Linked DNA regions of Tamandua tetradactyla. The protein of the gene in region 3 binds, or shares a complex with, the protein of the main gene of each other region. Links are inferred from orthologs where the notes say so. Each region holds a gene or a part of one and is shown on either strand. Other genes may lie near its edges. The genes, in order: MED26, CCNC, MED20 and MED21.

Region 1 (7,270 bases), on a different chromosome or scaffold from region 3:
AAAAGAAGTGAAACATGCCCCAGAGCCTGCATTCTAGTCAAGAAGAGAGAGCTCGTACTTGAGTGAAACAACAGCTTTGGAGACACACCAATGCCCCATCACCTGCTGAGGACACTGGGCTCCGATGGCCAGTGGACACACTGTGGCTTCTGGGCAAGAGAACGACAGGACCCTCGACTCCATTCACAAGCAGGAATTAAGCTGGGACAAACTGCACGCTGCACGGCTGAACATTTTCAGCGCTCTAGGTTAACGCACAGCCCGAAAAGAATAAGGCTTCAACCGGTCTGAAAAACTGAGAACTGCTTTTTGAAAAAGAGTGCTGAGGATTTACTTTTTCTGAGTGGGCAGGAAAGTATTAACTCAGAGCCTGCTGCTGTAGAAATTCAAATACTCCAGAGGCTGGAATTTAGAACAAAAAACAACTTTCCTCATAGGAACTCATGAAGAAGGTAGTCAGGAAATGTTACTCTGTTAATTCTTGTTTCTTCCCCAGCCTTGCAGATACTTATGGATACTAGGTCAGCTGTCCAAGGTTGAATTTTCAAGCAAAATCTAAGTTTCTTAACCATAACTGTGTGTCCATAAAGGTAAACATTATATGACACAATTTTCATCACTTCTCACAGAAGAGGTTTAATTTTAGTGTGGGCTCTTCAACACTGTCCCCATTTTTTTTTCCTACACACATCTTAAATATGTGTCAACCACCTATCCAGAACTGAAATTCCTAATTGGGCAAGACAGCCACGTGGCAGCCATGCCGAGGCTGGGACCCCCGCTCCCGCCCATGTCCAGGCCAGCCGGGAGGTGCTGCAGGCCCATGGACACACCAGGCCTCCCCACCATCCCCTCAACCATCTCTCCAGGGCTGCGAAGTTTCTGCATGGGGCTCAGGCAAAGCCACATTGTGGTCGAACCCAGTCACTGATAACACTTAAAACAGCCACTTCCATCGAGTTTCATGGGTTCAGAGACACAACTCCCCAACCCCATCCATCACCCTAGGACTCAACCATGCTATGACCAGAGTCAAAATCTGAATTCCAAACCTCACAATGCAACCGCAGATCTGTATAAATATAATGTTTATGCATATGCCAAGGCACACGAAATTAAGGTTCACTCTTTCTCTCCGCCCCTCGTTAGCCCCTCTCCCTATACTCTCCCAATCTGTGCTGAACCCTTTAGATTAGAGCCTTACAAAACAGTGGGGCCCCTCCAAGGTCATGGGCACTGATGTGCAGCGTCATGGCCCACATGTCCTGAAGCACCTCCTGACCCTAAGCTCTCCTAGGTGGCATTAAGGGTCAGCGCTACCATTTTAGCAGCCCCTTCTCTCCCGAGAGAAGCAAGCACATGAAATTCAAGAAATTACACTCTGGCTTGACAAAAGATGCAAAACTCACCAAAGCTACATTTTTCATGTCACTTGTTTTTAATATTTCAGACTTAAGAACCGCAGTAGCATCAGTTACTGCAAAAAAGGACATTCTGGAAGGTTTTATATAGCTTGTGCCTACTCCACCCCCAAAGTCATAACAAAACCGTACACATTTGCTTGAGACAATTTATCAGCAAGTCAATCTTAATGGGACCTGAAAAAGAGGGATAAGAGAATGACTTAAGACACCAAAGTCAGAGCCTTACAAAGACCATAATCCCTCAACTTCTAGCAAAACTGCACAACTGAGTGTGAATTATTCCCAAACTACCAGACCAAAACACACTGCTGAGAAGAAGTGGCCAGAGTCACAAAAGAACAAGAACTCTTACAGGGGAGAAAACAGAGTTACTTGGCCAAGCCCAAGATGATTTTCCTTCCATCTCCAGCCTACCACACAGTAATCTCAATGGCCACTTCCTAGTCTGCCAGCAAACGCAGAAGTTCAGTGCATCCTCCCACTGCCCAACCTGCACCTGCTCCAGAGAGAAGTGCCCCCTCTGCCAATGTGCCTCGGGGAGCACAAGGAAGAGCACAGCAAGTCCCCCCACACCCCCCCCCACACACACACACGGAGTAGGGGGTTACCTCTGCAAAACAGTAGCCTCTGGGGAGGAGCAACAGAGAAAGTGACAATCCTGAGACAGAGGTCACAAATCACCGGGCTGGGACCCCCAGGTTGGGGGAAAGGGAGGGGACCATGAGAGAAAACCACCACCCCTAATTCACCCCCAAAAAGCAGAGCTCTGGCCAGGTCAGTCAGACCCAGGAAGGCCACAGGAAGAATCCCACCTTCCCCAAGATCATCTTCCCACAACAACAACCCGAGAGGGATCCCACAAAGGCAGGTCCAGTCACAAAACGGAAGGGGACTCTGCCAGGGCCTGGGCACCAGGCTAGGGGCAAAGCAAGGAGGGAGGGGAGGAGAGGATTCCTTCCGAAAACAAGAAGGTACTCCCAAGCGTGAGGAGAAAGGACTTCTCTGATCACCCAGAAGGCCGACACAGGGCAGACACGGGCACCCCGAGTCATGCCCAGGACACCAGTTGCACCCAGACTGCTTCCCTCTCATGCCCTCACAGGGAGGGCTTCTCGGGGGTCTCAGATCCCAGGGTGAAGGCGAGGCGGGTGAGCCGCGTCCAGAGCAGCGAGGGTCAGAGAGCTGGAGGAGGAGGAAAGGCCGAGCTCTGGCGTCAGCCCCCGTCTGCTCCCTCCGCCCAGGCCGCACGGAAGCCTCGGCCTCACGTACCGAGCGCCGCCGGGCTGCCCGATCTGTCCCTGGCCTGGGCTCAGGGGGGCGAGAGGCCGGGATGGCAGCGACCGTCCGGGGGAGGGGGGCGCCGGGCGGGTCCCCCGGGGCCGGGCGGGCGAGGGGCACGGGGGAGGGGGACGAGGAGGGTCCCAGGCCCACGCGGCCTCGGTCCCGGCCCGCGAGGTTGGTACTCACGTTGCTCTGGGGGTCGATGGCCTGCAGCAGCCGGTCCCTGATCTGCTGCGGAGACGCCGGAGCCGCTGTCATTGCCTGGGCGAGGCGGGGGGGAGCGGCAGGGCCGGCGGGCGGGCGGGCTGAGGCGGGGGCCGGGGGTCACTCACTCGCCGGCCCCCGGGAGCGGAGCCGCATGTTCCCTGCGGTGCCGGGGCACTGGGGACGCGCGGGGCGGCGGGGGAGGGGAACCGGGGCCGGGACTCGGGCCCGGGCCGCCGCCGCCGCCGCAGGAGGAGGAGGAGGAGCCGCCGGAGCCGCCGCCGACGCTGCCGCCGCCTCGAGAACCAAACTCCAGTGAGCTGCCCCCGCGCGGAGCACTGTGGGTAACCCGCGCCGTACGCAGCGTCGGCGCCACGCTGAGGAGGTTGGGAGATGGGGCGGGCGGAGACGCCGGGCCAGGGAGGGGCCGCGCGCTCCGCCCTGCCCTACGCGTCGGCGCACGCGCGCGCAGGCGCACTCGCCCGCCGCCTCGCCCCGCCCCGCCGGCCGGCCGAGGGAAGCCGTTGGGAGGCGGTTGGGCGGAGCAACGGCCACCGCCAGCAGGCCCCGCCCCCGCCCGGGCCGTCGGAAACGTTCGCGGCGTCCTGGCCGCTGCTCCTGAGGTGCCTGCGGCGGCGCCGGGCTCTGCCCGCCGAGCTGGGGGTGCACCAGCCTCTCAGAGCCCGGGCCGCGCCCCTGCGCCCCAGGCGGGGCTCTGCCACGCGGGCCGGGCGGGCTCTATGGAGCAGCACCGTGCCTCCGGCCACCGGCCGCCCCTTCCCCGCGCGGGACGGCCCAGACGGCTCCCGACGCTGCCCGAAGCGCCCCGAAGGAGGCTTAAAGGACCCCAGCGCCTGCCTCGCTGGGAGACGCCGGAGAACTGACGTCCTCGTTCCCCGGCCCACGCGTCACAAACGGGGCAGCTGAGGCCCAGGGTCGCCCAGCGGGCGCGGGCAGAGCGGCCCCGGGAGCCCGGGACGGCGGGAGGGAGGGCGGCCGCCTCGGCCGGCAGGAGCGCCGCGTCTGCGCGCGGGACGAGCCCCCAGCCCCCGCCGGCTCCGAGCGCCGCGCTCTGCGGGCCGGAGCTGGGCCTCCGGGGGTCGCCGGCCTCGCCCGCCAGCCCTGCCCGGGGTCCATTCCGCGTGCCTCTTCCTGGTTTCTAACTCAGATGAATAACAGCTTACACATGCATAGATAACGATAGTGCCGTAGAAGTAAACCTTTTATTTTGTGGGGTTCAAATTAAGAAATATTGGAGAATACAACTCACCTGCTCTTTTTAAACTAGGGAGAACCTTAACCGTGAACCTGCGTGAGGGCGCTGACCCGCCGCCCTATCCCCAGGGCACGTCGGAGACTCGGGTAGGTGAGTGAGCACGTCAGGAGCCCGTGACCGTGTGCATACCCACACACACGTGCACACCTTCGGTCCCACGGGCCTGGCGCAGCGAGACTCGATGAGTTTTTCGTGATGATTGTATAGATAAGACACGCGTGGATGCACACACGCACACACGGTTTTACTCCGCATTTAACATTTCACAGAGAAGGGGGAATAGATGAAATAAGACAGCCGCTGGACAGAAGTCCTGAAATGTCCGCTGCTTCTCCGAAGTTCAGGACGGACCTGCTTCAAGGAAGAGAGACTTCCAACGGCGCCTGTCAGTTATGCACAGGTGGGGCGTGATGTAAACCCTCTTCTGGTAATAGTTCTTCCCTGACCATGTGACCATTATTTAGGTACAGAGACCAGTGGCCCCAGTGTCCTGAGAGGACAAGATCTTTTGTGCTTGGAATGCCCCTGAAAGGGGGAGACGCCTCTTCAAGAGCAGCTCCAAGAAAGCAGAGCCCGTGGTTTGGAGTCCGTGACCGGCTAATGCCCTGGAAAGGTGGCTGTGGAGGAAGTTCCAGGAGCACGAACACAGGGCATCTGGAGACATACTTGGCAGGAGGGGACTGGGGCCCAAGCAGGAATCAGGAGATGCACGAGCAGAAGGGCACCCCGGCTGCCAGGGCTGCGCTGGCCCAGTCCTCAGCAGCGGTGCCACGTGTTGCCAGGAGCCATGGTAGGAGGGCACTCAATACTTCCCTCCTGCAGAGAGCAGGGCTGTGCCTCTCCAGACTCCCTCAGCCGGACCCTGGGAGCCCTGGGCTATTTAGAGGGGAAGTTACTGGACTTCCCCCAATAAGGCAAGGGAGGACACTGGTAACTAGTAGGAAAAATGTGCCAAAATATACTACCCCACCTTGACCCATGTCTGTGGCCTGACTTTAACAGAGTAGTTATCACTAGCAAGTAGAATGACAGGTGATTTTTACTTTTTCCTGTAATTCTATATTTTTTAGAACAAGCATGTACTGCCCCTATTCGTCTAGTATGTCAAGCGCTGGGACCAGCCCATGATCTCCAGGAGGTGTCACAGCTCTTACCACCTGAATCTGGCACTAATCAGAAAGCATGCCAATATAACCTCCAAAGTGGAGGTGATGGATTTGCTGTCAGGTTGACATCAATGAGTGTACACCTATATCCAAGCAGTTTGTGTCTTCCTTAGTGTGGAAGCCCCAATTGTGGGTCATTATTGTTAGTAATAAAGAAAATAAAAGCAAGGAGTAGCTTTTGTTAAGTACATATCAGGTTCTGCCCTGAGGACTTCACATGGGGTCCCCCAGGAAGCCCACTTCCCCGTATGCAGGCCCTGTGCCATCCACTCCCCTTGACACGGCTGGACCTGTGATTTGCTTTAGCCAAAAGAATGCAGTGGAAGCGATGCTCTGCTTGTTCCAGGCTAAAGCCATAAGAAGTTCTGGAAGTTACCACCTGACCCAGCAATCCAACTCCCAGGAATCCTACTCAAGAAACCTGAAAGCATCCACACACAGAGACTTGTATGCCAGTGCCTATAGCAGCATTAGTCACAATAGCCAAAAGGTGGAAGCAATCCAAATGACCATCAGCAGATGATGGACACACAAAACGTGGTCTGTCCATTCAATGGAGTATCAATTAACCATAAAATGGGGCCAAGTTCTGGTCATGCGATGACATGGATGAACTTTGAGGACATGACGCTGAGTGAAAGAAGCCAGACACTGAAGGACAAATATTGTATGCGTCCATTCAAACAAAAGATCCAGAACAGGCAACCACAGAGAACACAGATGAGAGGTTACCAGGGGCTTGGGGGAGTCAGGTGTGGAAAACACTGCTTACTTGGTGAGTGGTTTCCATTTGGGGTGATGAAAATGTTCTGGAATTAAGATTTTAATGAGTGTTGCACAATTCTGAACATACTAAAAGTCACTGAAATTACACTTTAAACGGGTAATTTTATGGTATGTGAATTATAAATTGTGAATTAAAAAAAGAGAAGGAGGCCTTGTCACACCAAGGTGCCTCGTGAGAATTCTGGAGAATTCTGGGGGGCCACATAGCAAGAGGGGGAGGCCTGGGCTTCTGTGGAGCAGAACCAAGGAACCAGCTGGCCACAGGGACTGAGCCGTCCTGCCTACAGAACCAAGCCTAAGCAAGGGCTGTTTTCAGCCACTTAATATTGGAGGATTTGTAACACAGCAATAGATAAACCAAAACACAGTTACGACCGCATCCTCCAGTTACAGGTGAGGAGAAGCCTGAGGTTTACAGGTTACTTAACATCCCAAATGCAGCTGGGATCCCATGGCAGATCTTTCTGAATCAAAACTGTGCTCTCTGGCCCAAAGGCTGTGCAACTCCTGCTCCCTCTCCTCTCGACTTCTCTTTTGTGATGTGTCTTGGGCATGTTCCTTTTGCCCCTCACCTGTGCTGTGCCTGGTCTCACCTGCTTGGCTTCCCCAAGCTGCTGCATGGTTGGCATCATCTTGCTCCTCTGTTCCCAGAGCTCAGCAGCCTTGCACCTTGCCATGTCCGAGCACTCTGTCTACCCTGTGAGGCCCTCTCAGCCACAACCACTGCCACTTTTCCGGATAGACTTCTATCTCACCACCCATCAGTAGGTTTTCTCTGCTCCTGTCTCGCTGGATACCCAATCATCCAACTAAGTGACTTGGATTCTGGATTTTGGATGGTGACTGCAATGGGCCAACATCTCAGCGTTCCCAGATGTCTTGGGAAAAACACAAACCAGTTAGAGGCACTCCCCAACCCCACCCCTGACAGCAGACACAGAGAGGGGCTAGGGGGCTGATGCTGAAAAACAGGAGATGCCACAAGGGTGGCGCAGACAGAAGCAAAAACTAGAAGAGCCTCAACTGGCCAGTGGAACTTCTCAAAACTGAAGGTGGGAATTGCATCCCAGTGTGAAAAACAATACGTTGGCAGGGAAGGTAAAGTGCTCCCACAGGTGTTCACATCAAACGCA
Region 2 (7,622 bases), about 58 Mb from region 3:
TCTGTCCAGATAGGTTAAGTTAGATTAGGGGCTACAAAAAAATTAGGTTTTGGGAAAAATAAATCTCTCTTGCTTTGGTCCTATAGAGTAGGTGAAGTTCTAAAATATAGATGATGTCTTCCTTACCCCTGTATTCTGATCCACTTTTTCCCAACCTGATTGGCTTCATTCTTATCTCTAACTGAAGCCTGATCTCTTTTTCAATTTACTTAACCATTGTTGTATGTGGCAATGCTGATTTTCACATCACAGAACTCCTTTCCTGAGTCTTAGTTGTTACACAGGTACTGAAAGTTCTAGGGAAATACCATGTTATACATATACATAGCACAGCCTCTCAAAATCTAAAAATAACAATTTTCTTATAACTGTTTTCTAAATGAAACCATACAATATTTGCTCTTTTGTTTCTGACTTATTTTGCATCACATAATGTCCCCCAGGCTCATTCACATTGTTGCATACCTCATAACTTCATTCCTTTCTGCAGCAGTACAATATTTGATCATAGGTTTACAGCATAGTTTACAATTCCATTCTCAGTGTATCCTTCAGCCACCTCCATCCATTGGGCATCATGTATAATGTCTAAAGTCAACAGTCCATCTCTTGCATTGTCATCACGTACTGGTATGATCATCAACAGTTTCAACTTTGGACAATTTCCATTGCTACCAAGAGAAAAATAACCAATAAACACACTCTCACCAAACAGAAAATCCAAACCTCCCCTTAACTCTTGTCCTTCCCCCCCCCCCCCACCAAATATTTACCCCTGGTATTGCTGTGTACTGTTGATGTCTTCCTGTTAAATATAGCCTATAACATGCAATAGTAGTTTTCCTGATATTATAAACTTTTTGTACAAGATTCATACCTCTGCAGTAGTTCATGCAAAAACTTATTTATATTTGTAGTGTTAATTGGTGGGATACATGGCTCTATCCAACCTTTTTCAATCACGTTCACCTTCAATATGGCAATATCACTTACAGACCCACTTATGAACAGCCTTCACTACTATCCATTCCCTTACATTTAAGTTCAACCTCACCAGCTAACTGTTCACCCATCTCTAGCTTCCATGTATCTCTAGGTCCCCTATATTCTGTATTATAAGCCTCTGAGTTTACCTTTATCAAGGTCATAACAGTGAAATCACACATTAACTATGCTTCTGTGTCTGGCTTCTTTCATTAGCATTATGTCCTCAGGCTCATCCATCTGGTCAGGTGCTTCAGGACATCATTTTGTTTTACTGCTGTATAAATATTCCATTGTATGTATATACCACATTTTGTTCATCCATTAATCTGTTGATGGGCACTTGGATTGTTTCCATGCTTTGGCAATTGTGAACAATGCTGCTATGAACATTGGTGTGCAAATGTCTGTTTGTGTCAGTGCTTTCAGTTGCCAGGTCATAGGGCAACTCGGTATTTCATTTTTTAAGGAGCCACCAAATGGTAGATCCTTTTTATAATTTCTATATTTTTATCAAATTTTTCCTTTGCTTCATTTATCATTTTCCTGAATTCTTTTAGTTCCTTTTTCATATTTTCCTTTAGCTCATTGAACTTATTGAGGATAGCTGACAACATATTTTTGGTAGTAGTTCCAATATCTGAACTTCTCAGGAATGGCTTCTATCACTCTATTCTATTTCTTTGAATGAGCTACCTTTTCCTGTTTCTTTTATGTCTTCTGATTTCTCATTGTAATCTGGAGTTGAACTTTTAATGTGCTAACTCTGGAAATCAGAGTTATTCTCCCCTTTTTCTAGGTTTTTTTTTTCCTCTTATTAATACTGAAGGCTGTAGTATTATGTGTTTAGGGATTTTTTTCCAAACCATGCAAAAATTATATTCTTTGACATGTAAAGTCATTGAAATCTCTGTTCCTTTAGCTTATATTCAGCTTGTGGAAATATGGAGATTTTCTTACATAAGGGAGCCAAGAAAACAAAAGAAATAACAGAAAAATACACCTCACCCAGTCTTTGCAGATTGCTTTCATGCTGGGACTCTCTTTCAACACTCAGCCAACTTTGCCCTGAATCTAAAGAAGAGTCTGAGGAAGATGCTTTGGGTCCTGTCAGGTTTTTCTGAGCACGTATCTAGCCCTGTGAGTGTGCAGGGCCTTGTACATCCCCCCATATAAATGGACACTTCAAATGTCCTTCTTTCCCAGGAAATCCTTCGCATCCTTTCCTCCCAGGCCCAGAAGCTCAATTGTTTATCTCATCTGCATAATATTTTGCCTCAAGCAGACGTGCTTTGATTTTCTTAAAGTGTTTCAGTGGCTATGCCTGCTGCTTCTCCATCTAGATTGAGTTCTGGGTGAGACAGAGAAGAGCACCAGTCTTTCAGGCTGCCATCCAACACCATAGAATAGACATATATACACCCTAATCTGTGAATAAGAACAGAATCAAGTGGTAGTCCAGTGACAGAAACAAAGTCTAATAGGAGCCTAAAGATTAATAATACTGATAAATAATATATTATTAATATTTTTTTGGTGATGCCAGGCCAAGGAAAAAACTCTAAGATATTTGAAGAAATGCTGCAACCTTTTTGAAGCAGCCTATGGTCTGGTGTTTCTTAAACCAGTGTCTTACAAAATTTTTTACTATGATCCACAGTGTAGCAGACAGTAATGTTCATCACATATACTACATGATCCTTTACATTTCTCAGCCTCCTTTGCAGTTAAATTGGAGTCATGTGCCTATTCTGGTCAATGAGCTGTTGGAGGAAGTGACTGTGTTGTTTTTGATTAAAGGTTGCATACTTTCTTTAGATAGATTATAAGCCTGAAAGCAAAGAATGTCAAGATGGAGGAGTTGTGCATGGGACATGACTCTCAGGGGTGTGGACCTTCCTGGCAACGTGGGACAGAAATCTTAGAATGAGGTGGGACTCAGCATCCAAGAATTGAGAAAAACCCTAGAATGAGCTGAGACTCAGCATCAAGGGATTGAGAAAATCTTCTCCACCAAAAGGAGGAAGAGTGAAATGAGACAAAGTGTCCATGGTTGAGAGATTCCAAACAGAGTTGAGAGGTTATCCTGGAGGTTATTCTTACGCATTAAGTAGATATCACCCTGTTATTCAAGATGTAATGGAGAGTCTGGAGGGAAGTGCCTGAAAATGTAGAGCTGTGTTCAAGTAGCCATGTTTCTTGTAGATGATCGTATAATGATATAGCTTTCACAACGTGACTGTGTAATTGTGAAAACCTTGTGTCTGATGCTCCTATTATCTACCTTGTCAACAGACGAGTAGAACACATGGAATATAAATAAAATAAATAATAGGGGGAGCAAATGTTAAAATAAATTTAGTTTGAAATGCTAGTGATCAATGAAAGGGAGGGGTAAGGGGTATGGGATGTATAAATTTTTTTTCTGTTTTCATTTTATTTCTTTTTCTGAATAGATGCAAATGTTCTAAGAAATGATCATGATGATGAGTATGCAACTATGTGATGATATTGTGAATTACTGATTATATATGTAGAACGGAATGATCAAAAAAGGAATGTTTGCATTTGCTTGGTGTTTTTTGGTATTTAAAAAAATAAAAAATAAAATAAAATAAAAAGATGGAACAGCTGTAAGATAGAAACAGACTAGTTCCCTGAAGATCTGGAGGACTCCACCAAGAAGGGCAAGCTCACTCACTTTATGGAAGTCACATATAAAAAGAGACTTTATGGAAGTCACATATAAAATACTTTTATGTTAAATCATTGAGCTAAAGGGGGAAGGATGTTACCACATTTTAGCCTGGTCTAGTTTATCCAGACTAACTCACACAGTAATATATGCATTTCACATCTTGGAGCACTACATATGTCTATACATAATTGAATAAAAAATTGTAAAATGACAATTATCTTTCTTATTTCTGACATACTGTGAGCATTTCTATTCTACTTAATTTAAAAAAGTGTGTGCCACATTCACTAAAATAATTTCACATCTTATTTGTTCTCACGCTGTGGGAAAAATGTCTAAGTTGCCTCGGAAAACTGGTCTTCTATGAACAACTTCCAGGTGTGTCCAATTATTTAGAAAAATAATTAGTTTTGAAATAAATGCAATGTTACAATGATAATAGAAAAGGAAAATAAAGAAACATGATTTTATTTCATCTTATAAAATATTGCATTTTTTTTGCAGTATTTCTCTTTAATGCACATATATATGAAAATGTTTGGGGATGTTCTGCAAAACTGGTGGGTCTCAGGTATAAGAAGAAAACACTTGCTCTAAAAGTTTGCTCTTTTATCACTCCAAGAATTCCACTAAGAACGCATGGGGTTTGATGCCCGCGGGTCTTAGTAGGTCCGTGAAGCCAAAACAAAATTCATTTATTTCTCTTTTCAATCCCGCGGGGGATTAAAATCTAGTTAGAAAATTACCGTGCTTTATTACAATAACATCGAGAGGTCCTGTAGGCTTTGGATATAAACTAACCAATCAGAGCTAGACGCTTCTCCCACGTTAGCCTAGCAGAAGCGCCAACCTTACAGGCTTTAGGCCCGAATCTATGAAGCTCTCGCGAGAGCCTTCCGTCCGCCGTGACCCTTCGTAAGCACCAATACCAACTCCGGCGCGGCCACATGTCGTCTCCTCCCCGCCGGTTTCCTCCGCTACCATGGGGCGGGCCGGAACTTTTGTCCTTAGGAACGCGTTTACGCAGCAGCGTGTTGTCGGCCGGCATCTATGAGAACAAGGTGCCGTCCTCTTCCTCTTGCCGTAGCCGCCGCGGAGCGGAGCCGAGCTGATCAGATAGAAGAGTGCGGTTACCCGGCGGGCTGGGTCTATGGTCGCTCCGCGGGCCGCTCCGCCGGCTGGTGTTTTTTTATCAGGGCAAGCTGTGTTCCATGGCTGGGAACTTTTGGCAGAGCTCCCACTAGTAAGTGTTCTCGGTTTTCCCGCCCAGGGTCCGCTTTTGGAGGGCGATGAGGATGGGGCCTGCCACTTCTCGCAGCCTGGATCCCGGTTCTTGGCCCAAGCGCGGCAAGGTCTTCCCGAGAGGTGGCAGCGGCCGGAAGCGGGATTCGCTTTTCAGAGGCTACTCTCCTCTCCCCGCCCCCTGACCGGGTTTTGGGGGAAGGATCTGTGAGCTGAAGAATGGGTCTAGGAGCGATCCCCGGAAAGCATGGTTAGGAGTGTAATTTAAGGTTGTTGGATTAGCTAGGCCCGTGGGGATAGGATGGTATGAGCACATGTATGGAAAGTGTGTTTCAGTTCTGGACTGTGAATCTGGCTCCTCAGGATAGGTGATGCTCGCTTTTGCTTGGAAACTCTCAGAGAATGGGACAGTCGTTATCCCTCTTCTCTTGAGTGGATTTAATAATACTCCAAGGAGAGGAGGGAGTCCAGTTTGTTTCTGCTCGTTAATTGATTCCTGCCACTACTCTATGCCTAGATGGAGTTTTATGCTGGTAAGGTATAGGGCAGGTGCTCTGAAACTGTATCTGTTTCTTTAGTCTGTCTTGTATTTTGTTTTATAAATATATTTTCCAGTGATTTTATATGCCGATTTCATTAACCTTTTTCATGAGTAGGTTTTTGTTTCTGTCAGCGACCATTGGAAGAGCTAGAGTAGTATTTAAAACATTTCTCTCTGAATACATTTGTTTAAGCAGGTAGGAAGATGGATGATGGACTTATTAAACATTGATTAGACTTTCCATGTGTAGGTGAAAGATGAACCGAACCCGATAAAGAAAAATGTATCTTAGAGTAAGTAATTTTTAGTACTTAGCATTAGGAACTGTAACTTTAAGATTCTGTGACTAATATCAGTTCTTTTTGTTCATTTCCCTCTCCCCCCTTTTTTTGGCCCTTTACAGAGGGGGAAAAAAGGAACAATGGGCTTGGAAAACTGTTTTCAGAAAAGCAGGTTTTTCTCTTATCCTAAAGCGATTGGAGATGAAATGTTGTAAGAGCTACACTTCTGATTGTTGCCATTTTTATTTTGTGTTTTCCACTCGCTGAAATAATTGCTTGGGCAAAGTTAAAATATAGAAAGTTTAGTCTACTAAACTTTGTAGACTTTGAAGAAAGCTGAAAGAACTGTTGATTGTGAAAAGTTAGAGCAGTTTTTCAACTTAAAAAAGTAGATCCTGCCCCCTTTTTTGATATGCATTCTTAATATGATTTTATTTGCTGTTGTCCTTATTAAAACAATCGTTTTTTACTTCTCGGATGCAAAATTATAATGTGAAATGTGCTTTTTAAAAACCGTACCTACCTCCCAATTCAGTATTCCTGGGGGAAGGAACCTCTTTACCTCACTCAACTCCCTTAAGAATCATGGAGTCCCTGATCTGCAAAAGGTGACAAGTATGAAAGACAAGACAATCAAGTCTGGAAAAACAGGATTATGATAAGTCACTGCTTTAGGTACACAGCAAAGATTTTGGTGAAAGAGGAAAGTTGACATGCATCTCTGAAATCAGCATGGCAATTTTTTTAGTAGCACATGAAATAATGCTGAGTCTTACAATGAATGGAATCCTTGATTTGAAGAAATACAGTATTTATTAATTTGTTTTTTCCTCCCTTTAAAGTGCTGAGGGGAAAACTTTTTAAAGATTTTGTGAAATTTATCTCATAAAAGGACTTTGTGGAGATAAAATTAATGATAATCCCAGAATAGAGCACATCACATTCTACTCCAGAAAATTTAAGTAGAGCAAAACACATCTTCTGATGATACGGCTGTGAAACTGGCACTAAATAAATGTTTGCTGGTTGCTCAAATAAATGAAATGAGCAGGTAACAAAAATAACCAAATTTGGTTACTTTATTGTATCAAAAAGTAAACTGAAAATACAGTTACATTGTATCTAGAAAATAACATGAGATCAGTATATATCCATATCTATGGAACATAGCCAAAACTGAACTTTACAAGAAAATTAACATCCTGAATAAAAATAAGCCAAATACTCTATTTAAGATTATTAAAAATAAAATTGACATATAAACCTAAGGAAAACAGAAAGAAGGACTTAACACATACTAGTGTATTGAAAAGGGGAAAAGAGGTCAGATTTTAAGAGCTGGTTCTTTTAAAGGGAAAACTAAAACAGTAGACCAGAAACTATTGCTAGATGTATCAAGGAGAAAAAAGAATGTTCTAAAAATACAAAATGACATTTAATAAAATTTAGCATGTATTCTTGATTAAATTTCTTACTAAAACAGAAATAGGATGCTTCCTTAATATGATTAAAACAGCAAAGCATCAGCAAGAGATAGTTTAATGGTGAAACATTAGCAAAATTAGGGTACCTATTCAACATTCTGCAAATGCTAGTCAATGCAGTTAATAAAATGAGATAAAAACAAAATTATATTTAGAGATAATTAATTGGAAAACTGAGTTCATTGAAAGTTGTTAGAGACAGTACAGATTTCAGGTGATCAGTTACAAAACAAACTTAAAGGCTTTTTACTAAATAAATGATAGAAAAATGTCAGTCACAGTAGCAACAGAAAATATAAAGTACTTAAGAAAAAACTAATGTACAAGACCTATAGAAAGTTTGAACTTTAATATTATTTTTTTAAGTATTTGATGTTGTATGTCTGAAATAG
Region 3 (7,690 bases):
TGATCAGGAGGAAGGTGGCTACTGGTACCTAGTGGGTAGAGCTCATGGATGCTGCTAAACATTTTATGTTGCACAGGACAGCCCTCACAACAAGTAATAGTTTGGCCCAAATGCCAATAGGGCTGAAGCTGAAAAATCCTGGGTTTAATGAAACTCAAGATATAACAGAAATTTGTTCAAGAAAACTGAGCTCACCACTAAGAAAACTGAGCATACCAAGACCAAATGCAATGGGACATAACTCCCCAGAGAAATTTCCCAACTAGCTGGGACAGTTGCAGAACAGGTGCACAGAGAGGGACGATGTATTCCAAATCTAGGTCATTCCCTTTGAAGATGGACCAGTTTTGTTAAAGTCGTCCCTCACACCTGGGAATGTCAGGCCCTTTCCAAAGATAGGGAATCAAAAGTCACCAGGGCATTTGTTTCCCTGTGAGAATCCACCTCCAGGATCCACTATCCCAAATCCAAGGATGTGCCAGACCCACCTAACAGGAGGGTTCTTGTTCATGAACATCTCAATGGCACGCTCGTCTTCAGGGTCCACATCCACTTCGGCATGGTGGCTCACCCCTGTCATTGTGGCAGCCTTCTCCAGGGTGGGCCATTCCTCATCCTCATCATCCGATCTATCCTGTGGCACTCCTGGACCTAGAAAATGGGAGAAGAGATGGATGGGCATAGCAAGGAGAGGGCAAAGGATGTAGAATAAATTTGACACTATCTATTATAAGCCTCACAAGTGCTTATAAGAAATATAGATGAGTGCAGTGGAACAGACGATGCACATACTATCTTCCTGTCCCTAGGGGCTTACAATCTTGCTTGAGAAGAAAAAAAGCACACACATGAAACAATGAGATAGTGACACCAATAAATAGTATTTAGCACAACATACCCAGTTATGTAGCAAGAACTGCTCTAAACACTGTACATATGTTACCTGGTTAACCTTCAGAACCCTAAGAAATAGGTACTATTATTATATCCAGTTGCAGACGGACACACAGAAGCACAGAAAAGTTAATCTGCCTAGGGAAGGAAATCTGGGTATAGAGTCCGTATTCTTTGACATGCACAGGAAAGCTTGATCATATGCCAAAATGAGTAGTAGAGACAGTATACCATAGACATTTAGGTGAATACTGAGGACAATCAGGCTCTCTGGACAGGCAGTACGGGAGCTGGAGGAGGGTGTTCCAGACCTGACAGACGACACTAGCAAATGGAACTTTGTTACAAGAGTGTCTGTTAGATGGGTGGGCCACAGTGGCTCAATGGCAGAGTTCTCGCCTGCCATGCTGGAGACCCGGGTTTGATTCCCGGTGCCTGCCCATGCGAAAAAAGAAAAAGAATCAGAAAACATGATTTTAAATGAATAAACTTATGAAGTATGTAACAACATGGATGGACCTTGAAAACATTATGCTGAGTGAGACTAGCCAAAAACTAAAGGACAAATACTGTATGGTCTCACTGATATGAACTGCATTAGTGAATAAACTTGGAATATGTCTTTGGCAACAGAGATCATCAGGAGATAGAAATAGGGTAAGATATTGGGTAATTGGAGCTGAAGGGATACAGACTTTGCAACAGGACTGGATACAAAAACTTAGAAATGGACAGCACAATACTAGCTAACTATAATATAATTATGTTAAAACACTGAATGAAGCTGCATGTGGAAATGATAGAGGGAGGAGGGCTGGGGACATAAATGAAATCAGAAAGAAAGATAGATGTTAAAGATTGAGATAGTATAATCTAGGAATGCCTAGAGTGTATAACAATAGTGAAATGTACAATGTACAAATTTTAAAAATGTTTTTGCATGAGGAAGAATAAAGGAATGTCATTATTGCAGGGTGCTGAAAATAGATGGTAATTAATATTTTAAAATGTCACTTTACGTGTGAGACTAAAGCAAAAAATGTTTATTTGTTACAAAATTTATATCTTGACTAGAGCATTTCCTAATATAACTTATGTAGATAGTTTGATTGAACGTCATAAGTACTTGGAATCTCAGGTAGGATGTGAGATTTTGTTGGTTTGTCCAGAGTGATGCCCCGATGAATCCCAGAGTGATTTGATCAGTGAGTGGAAAAGTATTTTCAAGCCCCCTTCGGGGAATGGTGAGAGCAGGGAGAAATTCAACCTCCCCAAGTCGAATTTTTGATCTTCTCACAAGCAGTGTGGACAACCAAAGCTGTAGCCTGAGCCCCCAGTCTTGGGGTTTGTTCATATGAAACTTAACCCCACACAAAGGATAGGTCAAGTCTACTTAAAATTTAGGCCTAAGAGTCACCCCCAAGAGAGCCTCTTTTGTTGCTCAGATGTGGCCTCTCCCTCCAGCCAACATGACGAGCAGTCTCACCACCCTCCCCCTCTCTGCGTGGGACATGAATCCCAGGGGTGTGGACCTTCCTGGCAACGTGGGACTGATTCGATTGTGTTAGGTAGTGGCAAGAAATAGGGCTACAATGGTAAATTGAAGCCAGACTGTGGAGAGTCTTAAGAGGTGAGGCAGTGGAGTTATTTCAATCCAACAACCAATTTGAGTAACTGATTTTTTGAAGACTAGAGGTTGGTGGGCATCTGGGAGGAGGGGTACTAATCCAATCGAGGAGAGAAAATACTACATAGGAACAGATCATTAAGAACAGAGCATTGTGTGATGAAAGAACTAAAATTAGGGTGGGGGGAGGGGGAATACACAAATATTTTGTTCTCACATGTCAACAACTTCCAAATCCATACTTTCTTCTTAGATCCAGATGCTAACTCCAGGCTTCTCCTGTACCCTCCTTAGATGACCCAGGCACTTCATCTGTCACCAAGTGAACTCATTCTTTTCCCCAAGACTGCACCACTTACTGTGGTGACTACCTCCCAGCCCTGCCTTGTCCATATTCTCAGCCTGCAAACCCAATCAATTACGAAGTCCTATTCGATTCTACCTCATGGAGTATCTCTCAAATCCTTCACAGCCCTTTCTAAACCTAGACCAGCATCATTTCTTGCTAGATTCATTCACCAATCCCTTAACTAGTCTCCATGCTACTGACCTTGCTTTCTTTCAACAAATTCTCTACTCTACAGCCAATCTAAACTTCTGGAACCACACATTTGGTCTGATCAATGTTAGATAGCTTTAAATCTTGGTATGGCCTCCAGGTCTACAAAAGCTCCTATGTACCTCACCATCCTTCTTTAATCAATTCATTCAGCAAACATTGATGCCTCCTATATGTAGGGCACTGTTCAGGATACTGGGAATACATCAGTGAACAAGAGAAACAAATTTCTGTCCTCGTAGAATCTCTGGTACATTTTAACTGGGGGACACAGATCATAAATAAACATAACAAATCAATACACTGGGTCAAAAGAAGACAACTGGAATGGAAAAAAAAAATGAGACAAAGGAGCGCTGCTAGGACTGTTGAAACTGGAATGTGGGTACTGGAATTTTAAATAGAGTGGTCAGAAAAGTCCTCTTTGAAAAGGTGAAGAATTAAGCAAGTAAGCCTGCAGGTGTATAGGAACTGAACATGCTAGGCAGAGAGAACAACCAGGGAAAAGGCCCTAATCTGCCAACTTCAAGGAACAATGAAGCTATATGGCTGGGTGGGGTGGAGTGGAGAGAGCAAGCGCAGAAAGTAGTAGAGAGGTCAGATTGGCTTTAGGGGAAAGGACAGTGTCAAACTTGTTCGTTTCTGTACCCAAATTATCCAAACTTCCTTATAAACACTTATGGAGCAAGTGGATAAATACCAGGACAATTTAATGGATAATGAGCGATCACATCCCGCTGGCCTAATTTTAGGGGCGCCTAGGACCCCTAGAATCTTACTGCCTAAAACTAGGAGTGGGCAGGGGTGGGTTGAGGTGGGGTTGGACCACCTTAAATCCGCTTCAGGGCTCGGTCTCCCATCCCATTACTTTCTAAAGAGCGTAATATGGGCACTTTTTTCAAAACTCCAAGCTTCTCCCCTGACGGACACCTTTCAGCCATTCATCCAAGTATCCACTCTCTCCCTCGCACCCCATTCCCGGCCGCTCACCCAGCCGCGCGGTGCGCTCCCTCGGCCCCATGGGCCTTTCCCCAGCGCCATGCTCGGCCTCCAGCTCCTCCTGCTGCTGCCTCGCTTGCTGCAAAATTCGTCGGGTCAGTCGGGGCCCCACATACTCTTCCTCTTCTCCGGTGCCGCGGCTCCGCCGCTTTTCCCGGGTCCCGGCCCGCACTGCGTCCCCAGCTAGGATCTGCTCGGCCAGGGGCGCAAGTTTTCCTTGACCCCCGGCTCCCCGGGCCGCCTTGAATTTGGGCATTTTTCTCGAAAAAGTGGCCGCGAACCTTCACACGTGGGGACAGAGGCGAGCAGCCGAGAGTGCGCTTGTGCAGTGAACTTCCAAAGCCTACCAGGCCGCGCGGAGAGCACAGCGCCCCCGAGTGATTGGAGGACAGAAATGCCGTCAGCGACACCCAACTCCACTCCCTAAAAGTTCGCACGGGCCCTGAATAAATTCAAATCCTGAATAAATTCTTTGCATTTAACGATGACTGCTGTAAGTGGTGGCAGTTCGAACCATGCTTTCCAAGCATCGCAGATCCAAGTCTGGGTATCCAGCCAAATAGGACGTCCATACTTCCAAGCCTGAAGCTGTCACTGGGCTGCGTGACGTCTCTGCATACGTCACGGTGAGAGCGCCCAAGCACGTCTCTGTACCCTCCTGGCGCATCCATGGGACGCTTTGTTTTTATATAACTTCCGGTGCCTTCTCCCTCGACCGAAGCTTACTTTTGGGGGCTTCATTTAATGTGGGCGGTCGGAGAGCACCGCGTTTCAGCTGTTTGAATCTGCCACCCTCTCATCCGACACCATGGGAGTGACTTGGTAAGACTGCACAGACCACTTGGGATTTTGTGAGACGGGTTTTGGGATCATGAAGTTGCCCTTGGAGCCTGACTGGACCGAGAGGTGTAGCGGGACCGGGGTTCTCCGACACCCTGAGGGAACTGAACAAAATGCCCCTGGGTTATATGGGTGAGGGGATCCCGCGAAGGTTGCAGGTTCTCGGGGTCTGTTTCTTCGGAGATAAGCTCCTTTCTCCTGGAAGGCAGCAGGTAAGATTTTTTTTGGGGGGGGGGGGGGCAGGTAGGAGTTTTTAATCCTAGGAGCCTATCAGTGGTTGTGTACCTCCTTTCCTTTTTTCTTCGTACATTTTCCTGCACCTTATGTTATGGTACTGCTAGGAGTACTTCAGCTTTGGGGATAGGATATCCGCACCAGGACCCGTCCGCAAGCAGGGCTGAAGAAAGTGGTGGTCAGGCAACGAGTAGAATGCCTTTTTTTTTTTTTTTTTAGGTCTCTCTTGCCCCTCCCTACAGCCACAAAAAGTGTTTGGTTCTACATTGGCCATTATATAAAATAAACTATTAGAAATTAGGAGATGGAGTTGCAGTTGCTTCACCTCTTCACAGGACCTGTTTCCTGCTATGTTAAATTACAAGGTTCTACTTTCTATGGGCTTTCTCTCTCTAACATGTTATAAGCCACAGTTGGAAGAAGGCAAGGTGATAGGGAAAGGCGTGGGTCTAATATTTTGGAGGTGTTAGTTACAAAATGTTAGGTTTCAGGACATTAAAAAAAAATGTCTTCAGGTGTGCACATCTTTCCTGTCAGAGAGAACTGGGGACTGGGATATCCGAAGTTAGTGGCTCTTGACTTCTCATATAACAACCTGTGGGAAATGCTTTTTCTTGTAACTCAGGCTCTTACAGGATTGTCTGATTGTGCCCTAGCTTCTCACGGTAGACCTTCGAGAGGATCTTCGAGTCCTCTGGTGTTAGGGAGATATGTGAGTGATGGGAATAAAAAGTTCACAGCACAGAGGCTTGAAATCCTGGAAACCCCTGGTCTTTCAAAAGAGAAAGCATCCAGAGAGAAAGGCCTTTCTATCTGTTGTGCTTTCTATCTTTTTCCAACTTTTTCAGAATCTTAGAACTTATCCTTGTAGCATTAGTTTTTAGGATCCTCTTCTGTGTAAAATTAAGTCACATCACTATTATATAACCGTGCTTTTTCTGAGAGATAGTAGTGACAATTTTTAGCGGCAGTAGGACTCTAACTTATTAGCTTCGTTTAATCGATTGATCATAAAGTAATGCATTGTCTACCAAAGTACAGGCATATGATTGTCTTCATGATTTTTGCCATAGCTAGTTACCAGCTATACTATTAGGTACTAATGTTTTCTTTTAAGTTTATTCCTTTAAATGTTATTTAACAGGCAACTACATCCTTAGAGAGAATGTCTGACCTTGGGCTCATTAGTTAACCTCTCTGTACCTCAGTTTACTCATTTGCAGCAAGGAGATAAATAATAACACCTCTTATAGGGTTGTTGTGAGGACTGGAAGAGTTAATTCATCTGAAGTCCCCATTTTAGAGTTAATTCACCTGAAGTACACTGTCTGGCACATGGTAGGTACTTGTTATCTATTACTCTAAAGGGGAAGCCAGTTTCACTCACCCTCAAGTAGAAGGAAATCTTGGAAATAACATGTTTCGTTTTCCTGCATTATTAAATTCTTGTAGATGCCACTGCCTCCCACTCCCAAAGATTATAAATTTGAACTCTGCTTTCTGTTTGTTCAAGGCTGTCAAATAGAACTTTCTGAGATGATAGAAATTTTCCATATCAACATTTTCCACTATGCACTTGTGGCTATTGATCCCCTGAAATCTGGGCAGTGCTACTGAGGAGCTGAATATTTCATTTAATTTGTTTTATTAATTTAAATAGCCAGATGTGGCTAATTGTTACTCTACTGAAGAACATAAGTTGAAAGTGTTAGAGTTAGTAAAAATGTACTAAATCGGGCTGGCCACGGTGGCTCAGCAGGCAAGGATGCTTGCCTGCCATGCCAGAGGACCCGGGTTCGATTCCTGGTGCCTGCCCATGTAAAAAAAAAAAAAAAGAAAAAAGTACTAAATCAAATTGAGACTTTCTCCTTGATATATTTAGAACTGAAAAAAATTACTAAGGGAATCTCTTGTTTTATGTGATTCAGTGTTATTGAATACTCAGCCTAACATCTCTTGCATGATGGCACAGTTAACATCAGTAGATGTTGGTGTGATGGGAAGTTCACTGTACTGGTACATGAGTCCTGAAACCTGTGCTGTAGTTCCTAGAGGAACTCTCAGAGACTGTGGGCCTCTGTTTCTTCATCTTTAAAATTAAGAGTCACGTGAGTGGAGTGGTCTCTAAAGTAACTCCTGATGACTTGTGATGCTGTGAGTGAGCAGTTGGCTTGTTGAATGGCTATACTAGTGCATGTGTGTTTCTGGATGCTAATGATTTGGTCCTTTTCCTTCCAGTGTGTCCCAGATGCCTGTGGCTGAGGGCAAGAGTGTCCAGCAGACTGTGGAGCTCCTCACCCGGAAATTGGAGATGCTTGGAGCAGAGAAACAAGGAACATTTTGTGTGGACTGTGAGACCTACCATACGGCGGCTTCCACCCTTGGCAGCCAAGGTCAGTGGGATTGCACTGTAGGATGGCTGCAACCTGGCTTGGCGTTGATGGACATTCATGTTCACTAAAGTCTTTCTGATCTAGTTGTGTTTCTGAATTCTTTAAGTTGTTGTTTCTTCATCTGTTAGACTGGAGCTATTTTGT
Region 4 (7,001 bases), on a different chromosome or scaffold from region 3:
TTATATAGATATCCCTTTTTAGTTCACAGTGTATTTTTTTTAGGGTAAGAAAGCTGTTGCTTTTTAATAGCATTATGACAGTAGACATGCCTGCTGATAGATCTTCCTCAAGAATTATTTACGTATAGCTGTTTACAACATAGTTTTTTTTAAACTGTTTTTAATATTGTATAACACATAAACAAAGCAAAGAAAAAAAGCAGTTTTCAAAGCATCCCAAAGTTTATCATGGGCTACCATACCATCATCTCAGATTTTTCCTTCTAGCTGCTCCAGAACATTGGAAGTAGCCTTGATTCTTGAAGAGCACTATATAATTATACAGCTTTTACAGTGTGCCCATGTAATTGTGAAACCCGTGTGGCTAATGCTTCCTTTTTCCAAGGGTATGGGCAGATGAGTAAAAAAATGACAATAAATAAATAATAAAAGGGGAATAAGGGGTTAAAAAATTGGGTACATTGCAATACTAGTGGTAAGTGATATGGAGAGGTAAGGGGTATGGGGATTATGGTTTTTCTTTTTTATTTCTTTTCCTGGAGTGATGCAAATGTTCTAAAAAATGATCATGGTGATGAGTACACAAATATGTGACAATATTGTGAGCCATTGATTGTATACTTTAGATGGACTATATGGTGTGTGAAGATAGCTCAATAAAAATATTTTTTTAAAAAGGAGGCTGTTCATGAGATTTTGTAGGTTTGCCAGAGTGATGCCCAGATAAATCCCAGAACGATTTGAACAGTGAATAGGGAAGTATTTGCAGAGTTCCCTAGGGGGAATGGTGAGAAAGGGGGAAAATTCAACTTCCCCAAGGGGAGAATTCTTGATATTCTCACAGGCAGTGGGAACAGCCAAAGCAATAGGACGAGTCTCCAATTTGGGTATTGCTCACATAAAACTTAACCCCGCAAAGGATAGCTAAGACTACTTAAAATTAGGCCTAAGAGTCACTCCCAAGAGAACCTCTTCTGTTGCTCAGATGTGGCCTCTCTCTCTCCGCTGATACAGCAAGCAAACTCACTGCCCTCCCCCTCTCCACATGGGACATGACTCCCAGGGGTGCGGACCTTCCTGGCAACGTGGGACAGAAATCCTAGAATAAGCTGGAACTCAGCATCAAGGGATTGAGAAAATCTTGACCAAAAGGGGGAAGGGCGAAATGAGACAAAGTGTCAATAGCTGAGAGATTCCAAAAAGAGTCGAGAGGTTATCCTGGAGGTTATTCTTACACATTAAATAGATATCACCTATTTAGTTAAGGTGTAATGGAGAGGCTGGAGGGAACTGCCTGAAAATGTGGAGCTGTGCTCTGGTGGCCATGTTTCTTGAAGATAACTATATGATGATACTGCTGTCACAGTTGGACTGTGTGGTTGTGAGAACCTTGTGTCTGATGCTCCTTTTGTCTACCTTATCGATGGACAAGTAAAACATACGGGTTAAAAATAAATAAATAATAGGGGGAACAAATGTTAAAATAAATTTAGTAGATTGAAATACTGGTGATTGGTGAAGGGGAGGGGTAAGGGGTATGGTATGTATGAATTTTTTTCTGTTTTTTTTATTGCTTTTTCTGAATTGATGCAGGAGTTCTAAGAAATTATCATGATGATGAATATACAACTATGTGATGAAAGTGTGAGTTATTGATTATATAGCAAGAATGGAATGTTCATATGACAAGAATGTTTGTGTTTGTATGTGGTTATGTAGCATAAAAAAAAAAAAAAAAGAGCCTGTTAGGTATTGAATCACGTCCTCCTCACAAAAGACATGTTCAGATTCCAACTCTTGGTCTTATGGGTGGGAACCCATTCGTAAATAGGACCTCAGAAGTTGTTATTAGTTAAGGTGTGTCTGAACTGAATGAGCCTTAATCCAGTATGGCTGAAGTACTTAAAGGCAAAGGAAATTGGACATGGAAAAGAAGCCACAGGAGCCGGAAAACATCAGAACCCAGAGAGAAAGGAGAAGATGCTGCCATGTGCATTTGCCACAGGTCAGAAGAGAAAAGACAAGCCAGCCCCAGAATGCCACAGTTTCAGTGAGAAAGCATTGCCTTGCTGATGCTCAATCTGGGACTTCTCCTAGCCTCAAAACCTTGAGCCAATAAATTCTTGTTGTTTGATCCAACCCATTGTATGCTGTTTGTTTTAGCAGTTGGAAAAATAAAACAGAGCCCATGGCCAAAAAAAAAAAAAAAAAAAAAAAAAAAACTGGGGAAAACAAGGATTCAGGGGCTTTGACTGAAGCAGAGGTTTATTTCACTCAGAAAATGATTGGGAGGTGAGGCTGGATCTCTTTGCTGGAGCTGGATTACAGCAAACCTTGAAAATCGGGTAGAAATAGTTGTCTTCAACCTGTAGTCTCTGCAAGGCAACTGAAAATCTAGAAGCAAGGTGTGTACTAATATGAGTTATCTTGAAGAGGCTCCTCTACTCCAGGAGCCCAAGTTCTCATGAGTCAGGCTGAAAAACTCAGTATTCTCATTTAGTGCATTCTTTCATTTATCCCGTCTTATCTAACCAATCACCAATCCATGTTAAATTTTCCTCAAAAACATGTTTTAGCCTCCTTTCTTCATTTACCAGAATTAAAATCCTAATTTAAATTTAACTCATCCCACTCTTGGATAACTGCAAAATCTTCCTCCTAATGAGTCCCTGGTTTACTCATCTTTGAAAATTCAGCGCCCAACATACACATCTGGCACACGGCAGGCATTCAATAAGGTACATGTATTGTACCAGGTAGGAGAAAAAAAGTCACAGATTCCCCCCAAACTATTCTTAACAAACTAGAGTCACCGCTCATTAGCCCCATTTTGAAAGAGTCGCCTCACCTACTTTCTAATAAAGCCCCAACAGGAACTTTGAAGGCTTAGGGATGGAGAGTGAGATGCCAGGAAAAGTCAGAGACGAGCCCTCGAGCAAGGGTTGGGATAAATCCAGCAAGAGAGTTACCCAATTGATTGTTTCCCCCACCCTCCTCCAACCCTAGGAGGGTAATCAGGGATAATCAGCCTAATCCTTGAGAAAGACGGTATCTGAGTTTATTCAAAGTCCACAAAGCTGTTATTTGCTGATTCTAGGCTCATTTCTTTTCAGGCTATCCCCCAAGCCCTTGCAGGATAACTTTCCTTAAATAACAAATTTACATTAGCTCTCTTCACACTTAAATAGGTCTCTATTCTGAGTCTAAATTGCGCTGAGTATCTTTTAAAAATGCAACCTACCCAACCTATGAATCTCGCTTATTTCCAGGAAACTCTCCTCTTCTGACTACACATTGTAAAACCTCCATGTTCCTCTCCACCGACCCTCCTCTTCTCTCACGCCTCACCTTAGCCCATGGAGATCTCACTACGCGGTACTTTTCTAACAGTCAATACAGCCTAGTACTCAGTTGTTTTGGACGGTTTCCATTTCACGTGCGTCAGACTCCCCAGTACACCCACACGCTGAATTAACGCGAACAGCTTGCACCCAGTCTCCAGTTCGCTAAGCCCTTCCGTGACCCTACACAACAAGGGAGGGACTCCAACCAGAACTTCCCGGTTGTCTAGTGAATTTTACTTTGGATTTTCTGAGTTTAAAGTCGGTATCGTGACTCCCAAGTATTTGGAGTTGCATGCTGGGTATATGTTTTATGGTCCACCTGGAAAATAAAAGTAACGTAAAATAAGTAGTCTAAGACGCTGTTATAAAATTAAAACATGGTGGCGGAGGGTAGAAAAAAATGCTTTAAACCCCCGCCCCCCACCGAGTCCCATAGTCGCCACAAAGTGTTTAACACCTAACAACCTCGAGAAGAGTTTCAGCCCTACTAGCTAATCGGACTCCGAACTGTCATCAAGTTCCTCAAAAAGAGTTCCAGCTGAATCAATTTAAAGTTAATCTGAGAAAGTCTTGCCCAGAGAGCACTCCGACTCCACCTCTTCTGACAACTTCACCCTGTGATTGGCCAAGACCCGACTAGCGCCGCCCAATCGCGCACGAGCAGAGGCTGCAGCGTCGCTTTACGTGAGCCATCAACATGGCGGATCGGCTCACGCAGCTGCAAGATGCTGTGAACTCGGTGAGTGGATTCTTTAGATTTGTCTCTGTCTACCCCTTTCCTAAGGTAAAGCAAAGGAGGAAGAGGGCCCGAGAAATAAACCTGGACGTGGGGACGGACGAAGGCGGTGCCTCAGTATAAAGTGTAGGATGGCAGGAGGCCCCTCGGAACTCTGGGAAGATTGAGGCGGGCAGCGGGGGCTTTGCGCAGAGCTCCTGGAGGGAACAGGTAGAGTGAGAAGGGGAAGCGTAGGATCTCTCTCCTTCCCAGCAGTCCACTATGATTCTTGTGCTCCAGGGTCCTGTCAAATTTTCTGAGAAGTTTTATTTCTTGTCAGTGGTGTTTATGGATTCTCTTCTAAGGGGGCGGAAGAGGGGGGTAGGAAGCAGATCTTTTTTTTTTTTTTTTCCGTTATCGGTACTAATACACCAAGGCGACCCGTTCTTGGTGTTCGAACCTTTTTTTAATGAAGAAATTGTGAGTTTACAGAAGATTCATGCATAAAATACAGGATTCCCGTATTAAATACTTTTATTAAAAACTTGCATTGGTATGATTCATTTGTTAGAGTTAACGAAAGCTCATTTTTGTAATTTATTAACTGTAGTCGATGGCTTAACTTACAGTTTACTATGTTGTGCAGTTCCTTGAACTAAAAAAAATTAACCACATGTATACAACATAGCATTTCCCGTTTTAATTACATTACTAGATATCTAATTCATTGCTTTTATACATTCAAAATGTTGTGCTAACTTCACCACCATCCATTACCAAAACTTTTGCATTGTCCTATATAGAAACCCTCTATAGTTTAAGCCTTAATTCCCTATTCTCTACCTCCACCGCATTCCATAGTAACCTGTATTCTGGATTCTAACTTTATGAATTTGCTTATTCTGATTATTTCATATCAGTTTGATCATACAATGTGTGTCCTTTTATATCTGGCTCATTTCACTCGGCATAATGTCTTCAAGGTTCATCAGTTTTATCACCTGTATCAGAACTTCATTCCTTATTCTGAATAAAATTCATTTGTGTGAATAAACCGCTTTTGTTTAACCATTTATTAGTTGGTGGACACTTGGATTGTTTCTATCTTTTGGCAAGTATGAATAATGACGCTATGAACTTCGGTGTACAAATAGTTTGAATCCCTACTTTAAATTTTTGGGGGATATATACCGAGTAGTGAAATTGCTGGGTCATATGGTAATTCTATACTTAACTTTCTGAGGAACTGTCAAACTGTCTTCCCATAGTGGCTGCACCATTTTACATTCCTACCAGCAATGAATGAGTATTCCTGTGTCTCCACTTCCTCTCCGACACTTGTAATTTTCTGTTTGATTTTTTTTTTTAATAGAAGCCTTTCTAGTGGGTGTAAAATGGTGTCTCATGATTTTGATTTGCATGTCCCAGATGACGCATGATGTTGTGTATATTTTTATGTGATTTTTGGCCATTTATTTATTAGAGAAATGTCTATTCAAGTTTTTGCCTATTTTTAACACTGGATTGGTTGTCTATTTGTTGAGTTGAAGGATTTCTTTATATATTACAGATATTAATCCCTTATTGGATATGTGGTTTCCAGATGTTTACTCTCATTGGGTAGGTTGTTTTATGTTCATGATAAAGTCTTTTGCACAAAATTTTCAAGTTGGTTGAGGTCCCATTTATCTGTTTTTTCTTTTGTGGCTTGTGCTTTGGGTATAAAGTTGAAGAAACCATTTCCTAATACAAGGTCTTGAAGATACTTCCCTGTTTTTTCTTCTAAGAGTTTTATAGTTCTGGCTCTTATATTTAAGTCTTTGATCCATTTTGAGTTGATTTTTGTATGATGTGTGAGATAGCGGTCCATCTTCATTCATTTGTAAATAGAGATCTAGTTTTCCCAGCACCATTTGTTGAAGAGATTCTTCTTAACTGATTGAGTAGTCTTTGCCCCCTTGTGAAAAATCAGTTAGCCATAGATGTGAAGATTAATTTCTGAGTTCTCAATTTGATTCCATTGGTCTATATGTCTGTCCTTGTGCCAGTACCATAGATGTTTTGATTACAGTGGCTTTGTAAAAAATTTTAAGATCAGAAAGTGTGAGTCCTTCAACTTAGTTCTTTTTCAAGATTGCTTTGGCTGTTTGGGGGTCACTTTAACCTTCCATATAATTTGATGATTGGCCTTTCCATTTCCCTAGAGAAGATTGTTGAAATTTTTATTGGGATTGCATTGAGCTGTAAGTCAATGTAGAGTTGACATTTAAGAATATTTAGTTTTCCAGTCAATGAATATGAAATATACTCTCATTTATTTTGGTCCTCCTTCATTTCTCTTAGCATTGCTTTGTAGTTTTCTATACACAATTCATTTACATCCTTGGTTAACTTTATTCCTAGATATTTGATTCCTTCTTCTGATTATTCATTATTAGTTTATAGAAACACTACTAGATTTTGTGTGTTAATCTTGTACCCGACCACGTTTGTTGAATTCAGTTATTAGCTCTGGGAGCTTTGTTGTAGATTTTATAGGATTCTCTGTATGTAGGATCATGTTATCTGCAAATAGAGAAAGTTTTACATCTTCCCTTCCAATTTTGATGCCTTTTCCTTCTTTTTCTTAACTAATTTGCTCTGGCAGAAATTCCAGTACAATAGTGAATATCAGTGTGACAGCCAGCATCCTTGTCTTTTTCCTGATCTTAGAGGGATAACTTTCAGTTTTTCCTCATTAAATATGATATTAGTTGTGGGTTTTTCATATATGTCCTTTATCATGTTAAAGAAATTTCCTTCTATTCCTAGCTTTCTGAGTGTTTTCATCATAAAGTGGTGCTGGATTTTGTCAGTTGCCTTCTTTACATCGATTGAGATGATCATGTTTTTTTCCCTTCATTCTGTTAATGTTAATTAATATTGTTAATTAATTGGTTTTC

What was found.
Region 1: MED20 (region 3) and MED26 share a complex: the UniProt entries of both Homo sapiens proteins name them as parts of the mediator complex. The link is inferred for Tamandua tetradactyla from reciprocal best matches to the Homo sapiens genes MED20 and MED26.
Region 2: MED20 (region 3) and CCNC share a complex: the UniProt entries of both Homo sapiens proteins name them as parts of the mediator complex. The link is inferred for Tamandua tetradactyla from reciprocal best matches to the Homo sapiens genes MED20 and CCNC.
Region 4: MED20 (region 3) and MED21 share a complex: the UniProt entries of both Homo sapiens proteins name them as parts of the mediator complex. The link is inferred for Tamandua tetradactyla from reciprocal best matches to the Homo sapiens genes MED20 and MED21.

Annotation. Positions count from the first base shown.
Region 1 is NC_135337.1:95,127,182-95,134,451, forward strand, and holds the start of MED26 (mediator of RNA polymerase II transcription subunit 26), read right to left. Parts: upstream 3,006-7,270; 5' UTR 2,964-3,005; coding exon 2,892-2,963; intron 1-2,891. UniProt on the Homo sapiens protein: Component of the Mediator complex, a coactivator involved in the regulated transcription of nearly all RNA polymerase II-dependent genes.
Region 2 is NC_135331.1:157,138,836-157,146,457, reverse strand, and holds the start of CCNC (cyclin-C), read left to right. Parts: upstream 1-4,610; 5' UTR 4,611-4,893; coding exon 4,894-4,925; intron 4,926-5,728; exon of another isoform or gene 5,729-5,758; intron 5,759-7,622. UniProt on the Homo sapiens protein: Component of the Mediator complex, a coactivator involved in regulated gene transcription of nearly all RNA polymerase II-dependent genes.
Region 3 is NC_135331.1:99,518,318-99,526,007, reverse strand, and holds the start of MED20 (mediator of RNA polymerase II transcription subunit 20), read left to right. Parts: upstream 1-4,683; 5' UTR 4,684-4,887; coding exon 4,888-4,901; intron 4,902-7,391; coding exon 7,392-7,546; intron 7,547-7,690. Other genes in the region: BYSL (bystin), read right to left, coding at 489-651, 4,071-4,335. UniProt on the Homo sapiens protein: Component of the Mediator complex, a coactivator involved in the regulated transcription of nearly all RNA polymerase II-dependent genes.
Region 4 is NC_135333.1:90,068,053-90,075,053, forward strand, and holds the start of MED21 (mediator of RNA polymerase II transcription subunit 21), read left to right. Parts: upstream 1-3,991; 5' UTR 3,992-4,041; coding exon 4,042-4,083; intron 4,084-7,001. UniProt on the Homo sapiens protein: Component of the Mediator complex, a coactivator involved in the regulated transcription of nearly all RNA polymerase II-dependent genes.